Schizosaccharomyces pombe: one gene and its partner. The protein of the gene in region 1 interacts with the protein of each later gene in a biochemical or structural test. Each region holds a gene or a part of one and is shown on either strand. Other genes may lie near its edges.

Region 1 (7,110 bases):
TTGTAAATAATGGTACTGAGCAAAACCAGTGTTTGGATCGAAAATAAGCAAAGAAATCAGGGATAATCATAATAAAACACCTTTTCATCTCGATTTAAAAAGACAAAATTGACAATTCCATAAAATTTTTTCATAAAAAAAGTCATTTTGCGTACTTTAACCCAGCGAATATGCGTCCTTTGGCCGAAATAACTCCGTGGAAGTAGATGCGGAGTTTTAACGCCAAGTAATAGATTTGTTGAGAAAAAAATTTAGTCTTAATAGCTAAAATTTGCCCCACAATTAACTACATGGGATGCTTGAGTTGCTGGTCGTTTTAAAAATTGCCTATTTCAACTTGGTAGTCGGTTAAATTGTTACCCCCAAGTTGATATTATTTGGCTATTATCTCTACAAGTGCTGGTTAAAATCGACTTACTTGAAATAGAGGGATGATAAACAATCAACAACAAAAAAATACAACTTCCTGAAATGCAATACCTCAGTCAATTTACCGATTCATCCAACACCAAACTGTTTGAACAGTTCTATACAAAGTGAAAAGTTTCACAAAAATTTTATTAAACTTTTTAAGCAAGGTTGAATGAAGCTTCAGGGAAGAGGTCCAACTTCTCTTGGAGGCTACCACGCTTATTCAAGAACTTGGCGTAGCAACCGTCGGGAATAATTTCACCACGGCTGCGCTTTTCAATGTACTCATCACGAGCATATTGAGAGAAACCCCATTTCTTAGAGACAATGATTCTCTGTTGACCGGGGAACTTGTATTGACAACGGCGAAGGGCTTCAATGGCAGTAGCACGGCTAGAATCCTTGGTACGGACAGACATCAAAACTTGACCGATGTTTACACGGGCGACCAAACCATTGGGCTTACCAAAGGCGTGACGCATACCGGTTTGCAATCTATCGGCACCGGCACATGAAAGCATTTTGTTGATACGAACAACATGGAAGGGGTGTGCACGGACACGAAGGTGGAAACTATCCTTACCACCAATCTTGACCAAGTACTTGTTGGCACAGATACGAGCAGCTTCAAGAGCTTCTGAGGTGATTTGCTCGTATTCGTTAGAGACCAAGTGGATGCAAAGAGGGAACTCGTCAACACCAGCACGCTTACGACCCAAGTCGAAAATACGAATCTTGGAATCGGGAACGGCACGGTTGTAACGAGACTTGGGGTAAGGCTTATTCTTACAATAACGATAGCAGCGAGCAGGTCTACGTGCCATTGTGAAAAATGTGGTTCTGATTCAGGAAAGTAATTGAGAAAGACAGCACAACAAACTTTGGAAGAAAAAGCAGTCACCACTATAAACACAATTAAGTAACAATACACATATATTGTACCGGTACAGTATTATTATAATAATACAATAAATTTTTATAGTAAATTAGAGCTGTTTGGACATGTTATGTATATACTCTGCTCTAGCGTGTTTTTGGTTTTAGAAGGCGTATTTAAACATGTGGCTCAACGCTAAGCATTTTAGCAAAAATGCTTGTTGCCAATAATCAATTTAAAGTGAAATGTATCAGTATATACAATTCTATACCACATTTGATTTATTGAGTCATCTACAATACTGGCTTTGCACATCAAGCTTACTGACACGTAGGGTTGTTGATAATAAATACAAATATCGAAGAAATAAAATTGAAGACTAACTTTGTGATATGACACTTTGTACAAATGTTTATTATAAAATTAAATTATTATTATTATTTTGCACAATAGTTTAATAATTGCAATAATAAGCAGTACATTTGAATTTACAAAATATGTACGATAAATAACTTAAACACTAATTTGAAATGATATAACAAAAACAATTTCATTATTGGAGTATATTAAACATATGTTTTGGATTTTGTTTGTGAATGAAGATTATCAATTTATCATCTACAACGAAGGTTTTAGGCAGTTCGAACATTTGACACTCTCCGTTACCAACAACATATCATACTTTCAAAATGAGCCAGACGGCTCCAAGTGATACTGAGTACAATCAGCGTCTTGAACGATGGTCTGAGAGACTTAAGAGTCAAACAATTTCTCATCTTCCAACAGATTATAGTCGTCCCGTGCCTAGCAGACTCGTTGAAGCCGTGTTTGAACGAACACTTCCTGAGGATGCAAAAACAGCTCTTATTAAGGTTTATGTTGCTGCTCAAGCTAAAGGAATATTAGTAACTCCTTTCAATATTCTTTTGACGATTTTTATAATCCTCGTTAGTCGCATGACTGGAGATGAGGACATTAGCATCGGTACTAGTTCTGAGAATGCAATTCCATTCGTTTTGAGAACTTTCATTCAACCAAGCGATTCTTTTCTTGACCTTTTAGCCAAAGTGTGCGATCTGGAAAAGGAAGGCTCCTCTGATGCTGTAGATTTTTCTGATTTAATTAATTTTTTGAACGCTAAACTTTCTAAGAAAGATGACCCTCGTAAAACTCTTGTTCATCTTCGTTTTTACAATGCTCCAGACGCTCCTTCTGAAAACTTTCTTTCTACCACGGGATTAGATGTGGATTTGACTGTTCTGGTTTCGGTAAAAAAACCTTCTGATCAATTAACTTCTTTACGCTCCCAATTTACTTTCCCCGATTTACAATTGAAATTAATCTATAATCAGTTGTTGTTTTCTGAGAGTAGGGTTAATATTGTGGCTGATCAGCTATTAAAGTTAGTGGTTTCAGCTTCCAAAGATGTTACAGGTCCTATCGGTGCTCTGGACCTAATGACACCTACCCAAATGAATGTTCTTCCAGATCCAACTGTTGATCTTGATTGGAGTGGTTATCGTGGAGCCATTCAAGATATTTTCGCATCCAACGCTGCTAAATTCCCTGATAGAGAATGCATAGTAGTCACTCCTTCGGTCACAATTGATGCTCCTGTCACTAGTTACACGTATCGACAAATCGACGAGTCTTCTAACATCCTGGCTCACCATCTCGTAAAGAATGGAATTGAGAGGGGTGATGTAGTTATGGTTTATGCTTATCGAGGTGTGGATTTAGTTGTCGCGGTCATGGGTGTACTTAAAGCTGGTGCCACATTCTCAGTTATCGATCCAGCATATCCACCTGCTCGTCAGATTATATATCTGAGCGTTGCTAAGCCCAGAGCCTTAGTTGTTTTGGAAGATGCAGGTGTTTTGTCTCCCACAGTCGTAGAGTATGTTGAGAAAAGCCTTGAACTAAAAACTTATGTACCAGCTTTAAAACTTGCTAAAGATGGTTCTTTAACGGGAGGATCAGTCTCAAAAGGAGCTGACGATATCTTGCAACACGTTTTACACTTGAAGTCCGAACAAACTGGCGTTGTTGTAGGCCCTGATAGTACTCCCACACTTAGTTTTACTAGCGGAAGTGAAGGAATTCCTAAAGGTGTAAAAGGTAGACATTTCAGTCTTGCTTACTATTTTGATTGGATGGCTCAGGAATTTAATTTATCTGAATCAGACCGGTTTACGATGTTAAGTGGAATTGCTCATGATCCTATTCAAAGAGATATTTTCACACCACTTTTCCTTGGCGCATCCTTAATCGTACCCACTGCTGAAGACATTGGCACCCCTGGTCAATTAGCCCAATGGGCTAACAAGTATAAGGTTACTGTAACTCATCTCACCCCAGCTATGGGTCAACTGTTAGCTGCTCAGGCTGATGAGCCAATTCCTTCATTACACCATGCATTTTTTGTAGGTGATATTTTGACGAAACGTGATTGTCTTCGCTTACAAGTCCTTGCTAACAACGTTAACGTTGTTAACATGTATGGAACGACAGAGACTCAGCGTTCAGTTTCGTACTTTGTAGTACCTGCGCGGTCTCAAGATCAAACATTTTTGGAATCGCAAAAAGATGTCATTCCAGCCGGACGTGGCATGAAGAATGTCCAACTTTTGGTGATCAATCGTTTTGATACTAACAAGATATGCGGTATCGGAGAAGTTGGTGAAATATATCTTCGTGCTGGTGGATTGGCTGAGGGCTACCTTGGAAATGATGAATTGACTAGCAAAAAATTCTTAAAGAGTTGGTTTGCTGATCCCTCCAAGTTTGTAGACCGAACTCCAGAAAATGCGCCCTGGAAACCTTATTGGTTCGGAATACGCGATCGTATGTATCGTTCTGGTGACTTGGGCCGCTATCTCCCAACTGGTAATGTAGAATGTAGCGGTCGTGCCGACGATCAAATTAAAATTCGTGGTTTCCGAATTGAGTTAGGTGAAATTAATACCCATCTTTCTCGTCATCCTAATGTCCGTGAAAATATTACCCTTGTTCGACGTGATAAGGATGAAGAACCCACGCTAGTTGCATACATTGTACCTCAAGGTTTAAATAAAGATGACTTTGATAGCGCTACTGAGTCGGAAGATATTGTCGTCAATGGTTTGAAGAAGTACAGGAAGCTTATACATGATATACGGGAATATCTTAAGACTAAACTTCCTAGTTATGCTATTCCTTCTGTAATTGTTCCCCTTCATAAAATGCCTCTCAATCCTAATGGAAAGATAGATAAACCTGCTCTGCCTTTCCCAGACACATCACAACTTGCTGCCGCATCTCGTTCACATTCTAAACATGGAGTTGATGAAACTCTTACAGCCACTGAAAGGGATATACGTGATATCTGGTTGCGTATCATTCCACACGCTACTGATGTCAACAAAAAAGCAAGTTTCTTTGATATTGGAGGACATTCTATTTTAGCTACTCGCTTAATTTTTGAACTTCGCAAAAAATTTGCTGTGAATGTACCTTTAGGTTTAGTTTTCAGTGAACCTACTATTGAAGGTTTGGCCAAAGAGATTGAAAGAATGAAATCGGGTGAGATGATTAGCGTGATGGATATAGGCAAAGAAGAGACTAGAGAACCTGAAATTGAATATGGTAAAGATGCACTTGATTTAGTAGATTTAATTCCTAAAGAATTTCCAACCTCTAAAGACTTGGGTATTGATGAGCCAAAAACCGTTTTCTTAACTGGTGCTAACGGCTACCTTGGTGTCTTTATATTAAGAGACCTTATGACCAGAAGCTCTAACTTGAAAGTCATTGCCTTAGTCCGCGCCTCATCGGAAGAACATGGTCTAAAACGTCTTAAAGACAGTTGTACCGCGTATGGTGTATGGGATGAATCATGGGCCCAAAAAATTTCTGTTGTCAATGGTGATCTTGCTCTCGAAAACTGGGGTATAGAAGAAAGGAAATGGAACAAGCTTACTGAAGTCGTCGATTATGTTATTCATAATGGTGCCCTTGTACATTGGGTTTATCCATATTCTAAACTCAGAGGTCCTAATGTTATGGGTACAATTACTGCATTAAAACTTTGCTCTTTAGGAAAAGGTAAATCCTTGAGTTTTGTTTCATCCACATCAACTGTTGATACTGAGTATTACGTTAACCTTTCGAACGAAATTACTTCAAAGGGAGGAAATGGAATCCCAGAATCCGATCCTTTGCAAGGTTCTTCGAAAGATTTGCATACCGGTTACGGACAAAGCAAATGGGTATCTGAATATTTAGTAAGGCAAGCGGGATTACGTGGCCTTCGTGGTGTTGTTGTGCGTCCTGGATACATTTTAGGCGACTCCAAGTCTGGTGCTATTAATACCGACGACTTTTTGGTTCGAATGGTCAAAGGGTGCATTGAATTGGGTCTGTACCCGAACATCAATAATACTGTAAATATGGTTCCTGCCGATCACGTTGCTCGCGTGGTAACTGCCAGTGCTTTCCATCCCGAACAAGGAGTAATTGTTGCTCACGTAACTAGTCATCCCCGACTTCGTTTCAACCAATTCCTAGGAACTCTTTCCACTTTTGGCTTCAATACCAAGCTTTCCGAATACGTCAATTGGCGTATTGCTTTGGAGCGCTTTGTCATTAATGAGTCTCATGATAGTGCTTTGTATCCCTTACTTCACTTTGTGTTAGATAATCTTCCTGCTAATACAAAAGCTCCTGAATTAGATGATACAAACACACGTGAAATCTTGAAACGTGATGCATCTTGGACTAACGTGGATGTTTCTAATGGAGCTGCAATTTTGGAACATGAGATGGGCTTATATTTGTCATATCTGGTAGCTATTGGATTTTTGCCAAAACCTACTTTAGAAGGTAAAAAGCTTCCTGAAGTCAAAATAAATGAAGCTACTTTGGAGAAGCTTGCATCGGCTGGTGGTCGTGGAGGCGCTCCAACTCATTAGATTTATTAAGCAGTTAAATTATCCAAAATGAAAAATTTAGAATCTATGTAGACTTCTAATATCTATCCTGTTTTTCTTTCAATAAATATGTTGTCTCTTCACTTTCTGTTGTGATTGAGTTAAATTGTATATCTGAAATAATTGCCGGTGAGATGGGAATGTCAATAGCAAGGTCACTAGATAGGCTTATTAAACCCAAGGACCTTTTATAGTCTATGCAGTCATCTTCTTCATATTGAAAATTTTGGAAATCATAAACGTGCGATTCTCGGGGAGGAATAGGAGGAGGCCTACACGACTTCGTAACAGGAAAAGCTAACGATTGTACTGGTAAAGTAATGTTCTCCTTTGGATTTGGAATAACTAAATCTAGAAGGCTAAGGAATAATGATTTGAGCCAAGATGATAAAACACCAATTAAGCCGAATGCACAAATCAATAACCAAAGCAAAAAAAATAGGAAAGAAAAATTTAGCTCACTTATTACTGACTTTTCAACTCTATCAAAGATACCAGAGAAACTCACTGTGCTGTTTGATGAATTTAGTGAAGAATATAAAGAAGAATAGATAGTTTGGTTATCTATAGATTTGCTTAAAATATCAGTAGGTAAAAGAGGTAATTCAATATGGGATTTGTTATAAACCCAAGTCAAAACTATTGGTTAGATTAAATTTGAAAGACTAGTATAACAAACCTTCTTCAAAATTCTCAATTTTTCTGTAAAGCAAGCAATTCATAACATTTTGTACGGTACTTGCAAGAAAGGTGTCTCCAAACGCACTTGTCATTGACGAATTCAGTTCATTCATAAACGTATTCAGCGTAGAGTTCAAAGAAAGTGTAGTATTATGAATGGAACCAAACATATTG
Region 2 (3,819 bases), 760 kb from region 1:
TAAGGAGTCTGTAAAGAAACTGGAATTTGAATTGGTGTACTACCATTGTTTACGTTTTGGGGATTGTTCCGAGGGCTTTGATTGGCACTACGTCCATTAGACATATACGTAGGATAGGCACCTTGATTGTTATAGTTTCTCCTAGAGTTTCGAAAACGAGGATGCCCTGACTCATTCCTATTATTTCCCGAGTTATTATAATTAAAACCATGCTGATAATGAGAATATTTATTGTAAGAAGGATGAGAATTTCCGTAACGGTCGTAGTGCCGCTTTTCGGAAAAGTTTCCGTGATTTTGACGATTAGATCTAGAAGATGTGTTTGATGGTGTACTACTTCCTGACAATGCAGGAGAGTTGGACGCTGAAACTTGGGTAGTTTGGGTGGCGGGATCAGTGGTATTGATATCGGTTGAAGGTTTATTAGTCGGTGCGCCATTAGCAGGAGAGGTATTGGTGTTGGATGCACTCGTGGTAGGACGAGGTCCTTTAGTGGCGGTTGAAGAAGCCTCCGGCTTAGCAGCAACAGGTTCTTCTGTATGAGGAGGATTGGATGTAACCGAGGAGTTAACAGACTGGCTTTTGGAACTATAAGAAGACACGCCACTCTTATTTTGCATGTTACCAGAAACCTTTGGTTTTGAAGGGATAGCCGCATTTCTGGTAATCGAACCAAACTGAATTGGCACAGTGGATACAGGAGGTGCTGTTTCTTGGGAGGTAGATTTCTCATTTACATTTTCCACGGGAGCTGCATTGTCTTTACCAATTTGGGATGAAGTTTCAGGCTTCTGATGCTGTGAGCTCGTTCGTTCAGCAGAGCTATTGGCCGATGGTTTTGAAGTATTATCGCCGCGCCATGGCTTATTATTGGTTGAAGATTTTTCAGAAGATTTTTTTTCCACCGATCCTTCCTTGTTGACAGGAGATTTGCTTGAGTTGTACTTTTCAGTGTCAGCCTCTGAAGTAATCTTTCCAGTGGACTCTGTTTTCTTTTGGGCATTAGCACGAGAGGTATTCGTTGGCTCCACCCCTGAAGGCTTTACTGCCTGCTTTTCAGCAGTTGCAGTATTATTTTCTGAAGCTTTAGTGCTATTGCTTTTATTGGATTGACTGCTGGCCAAGGCACGAGCATAACTAAACTTTGGAGTATTTGACGGTGGTTTTGAAGACATTATACTCTTCGTTTATCTACAATTATTCAAAGTAATAAAACTGAAGAGACCACCGAATATTAAAACCTTAAATTAGTTCGTTTGTTTTATATACAACAACCGAGTTCTTTTCTTCCTATTTCTACTGAAAGAAAGAACACCAATTATAGATTATTATTGGAACGGAACAAGACAAACAAATGTAACGTTCTGTATTCCGTTAAATATTAAAATACCCTCCAGATGAGTTGATAATAAATTTTCAACTGAAGTGGTTGGGTTAGTGGTGGTGGTCAAGAGAAGCAATAGAACGAAGCAGCAAACTCTTCAAATTGTGCCGCTTACGTTCTATCAGTAAATTTAACGAAATTAAATCTTCTGCGATAAACACGTTTTATGACTGTTAATAGATATTCGCAAATTAAAGAAAAGCTGTTCTCCAAGGTAGAACAAAAAATATATTTTTTCGGAAAGTACTGTCGACTTGCGTTAATGTCACGCTTCATAATTCATGTTACTATTTATTGGTAGAAATTATCTTGATTGCCTTCTAACGAAATTATACTCTTCTTCTGGTTGGTTTCGAGTTTATGAGTGATTCTTGTTTTTGTGTTTCCTGGAAATTCTGGCATTGTTTATTGTAGTTTCTCATTGAAGAGTATTTCATTCGATTTAAATAGCAATATATGAAACAAAAAGTATATAGGTTATTAATAGATACTCAAGAAGCATGGCCTTTTGAAAGAACTGTATGTTTTTAGTTTTATCTAAACAATTTTTCTAATACGTTAGAGGATACCCAGTTTTAAAAAACTGAGCGATTCTGAGCGACAACAAATTGAGAGGTACTATTTCGACATGGATGCTAAAATGGCATTGGCTTCTATACTTATTAAAAGGCACTTAGTCTCCACGGCTCTCGAATGTTCACCAAATGAAGTACAAATTTCTGTCACAAAAGCCGGGAGACCGTATTGCCAATCAGCACACTGTCCTCCTATTATATTTGACTTTAATGTATCCCACTATGGGGGAATCGTAATTGTAGTAGGAGCATGGCTTCCATCAGATCCTTCAGGAATGCGACCGATCAATATTGGAGTTGACATCGTCGAATGTAAACCGTTAGCTTTTGAAGCATCATGGATGGAAGATTTCATGAGTGTATTTACTCCTTGCGAATGGAAGTTGATTAAAAGTTCAATTTCTAGTATTGATGTTTTTTTTTTGCTCTGGACTTGCAAAGAAGCGATTTTGAAAGCACTCGGTATCGGATTAAGTGGAAACCCTTTGGATATTGTGGTAACATTTCATAAATTAAATGAGCTGTTAAATTCCGAGGAAGTGTCTTTAAGAAGAGCAGCAACTGCAGTGTATTCAGGATATTCTTGGGACTTGGAAATTCATAAACTAATACTTCACTCTAGTACTTTTTACGTCAGTGTCGCCTTTCCACAAGACTGCGTAATAATGGATCTAAATTGGGAGACATTGAACGACTTGTAATTTTTTTTTATTAACATGTATCATCGCATTGTTTTAGACCGTGATGCCTCCTTTGCCTGTCTCCCTTAATGCTTGGATCGAGTTGCATTAGTAGTGTTTTTTTATTCTCTGATAATTTACCCAAACTCTTTTTGGATTTATCAGAGTTTACACAACTCTATACACCATCCAGATGATTTACCTATTTTTGTTTATATGTTTTTTTTACTAAAATGCTACATTGCTTTATAAGATTTAACATATCTTAACGATGGAGCTCAAACAATAACAACCACCTGTTTGTACCCACATGTTTTTGTTGACATTAACTCCCATCGTTTCCAAAACTTTAATAGATTTGTCATGACAGATCGATTGAAATGTTTAATATGGTATTGCATTGATAATCAGAATTATGATAATTCAATTTTTTATTCAGAACGTTTACATGCAATTGAAGATTCAAACGAGAGTTTGTATCTTTTGGCATATTCGCATTTCCTAAACCTCGATTACAATATTGTATACGACTTATTAGATAGAGTAATTAGTCATGTTCCTTGCACATACTTATTTGCAAGGACCAGCCTTATTTTAGGCAGATATAAACAAGGAATAAGTGCTGTGGAGGCCTGTCGATCGAATTGGCGCTCCATTCAGCCAAACAGTATGTGGTGATTTATTTCGCGAAACCTCTAACTAAGTTATCTAGTAAATGACTCAATTAGCAGTCGTGGACATCCAGATGCCTCTTGCATGCTTGATGTTTTGGGTACTATGTATAAAAAGGCAGGGTTCCTCAAAAAAGCTACAGATTGTTTTGTAGAAGCTGTCTCCATTAACCCATATAATTTCTCTGCTTTCCAGAATTTAACTGCAATAGGTATGTGACAGATGTTTTGTTGTGAATTAGTAAATTCACTTTTGTCAAAAAAAAATACTTATTTTCGTTTATTTCTATAATTGTGCTAATATATTTTGCTGAATAGGCGTGCCACTCGATGCTAATAATGTATTTGTTATTCCACCCTACCTTACGGCAATGAAGGGTTTTGAAAAATCTCAAACGAATGCTACAGCTTCGGTACCAGAACCGTCTTTTTTGAAGAAAAGTAAAGAGTCTTCCTCATCTTCCAACAAGTTTTCGGTTTCTGAATCGATAGCAAATAGTTATTCAAAC

Evidence for each region.
Region 2: the proteins of lys1 (region 1) and lys7 form a complex in vitro, tested with the Schizosaccharomyces pombe proteins (one study listed by BioGRID).

Annotation. Positions count from the first base shown.
Region 1 is NC_003424.3:3,738,289-3,745,398, reverse strand, and holds lys1 (aminoadipate-semialdehyde dehydrogenase), read left to right. Parts: upstream 1-1,949; 5' UTR 1,950-1,977; coding exon 1,978-6,237; 3' UTR 6,238-6,292; downstream 6,293-7,110. Other genes in the region: rpl1002 (60S ribosomal protein L10), read right to left, coding at 570-1,235; conjugation protein Prm1, read right to left, coding at 6,293-6,894, 6,935-7,110. UniProt on the Schizosaccharomyces pombe protein: Catalyzes the activation of alpha-aminoadipate by ATP-dependent adenylation and the reduction of activated alpha-aminoadipate by NADPH.
Region 2 is NC_003424.3:4,495,130-4,498,948, forward strand, and holds lys7 (alpha-aminoadipate reductase phosphopantetheinyl transferase Lys7), read left to right. Parts: upstream 1-1,595; 5' UTR 1,596-1,840; coding exon 1,841-1,903; intron 1,904-1,939; exon of another isoform or gene 1,940-1,946; coding exon 1,947-2,660; 3' UTR 2,661-3,002; downstream 3,003-3,819. Other genes in the region: tif471 (translation initiation factor eIF4G), read right to left, coding at 1-1,175; nuc2 (anaphase-promoting complex TPR lobe subcomplex subunit Apc3), read left to right, coding at 3,003-3,306, 3,352-3,522, 3,629-3,819. UniProt on the Schizosaccharomyces pombe protein: Catalyzes the transfer of a 4'-phosphopantetheine moiety from coenzyme A to a serine residue of acceptor proteins, such as alpha-aminoadipate reductase. Necessary for alpha-aminoadipate reductase activity.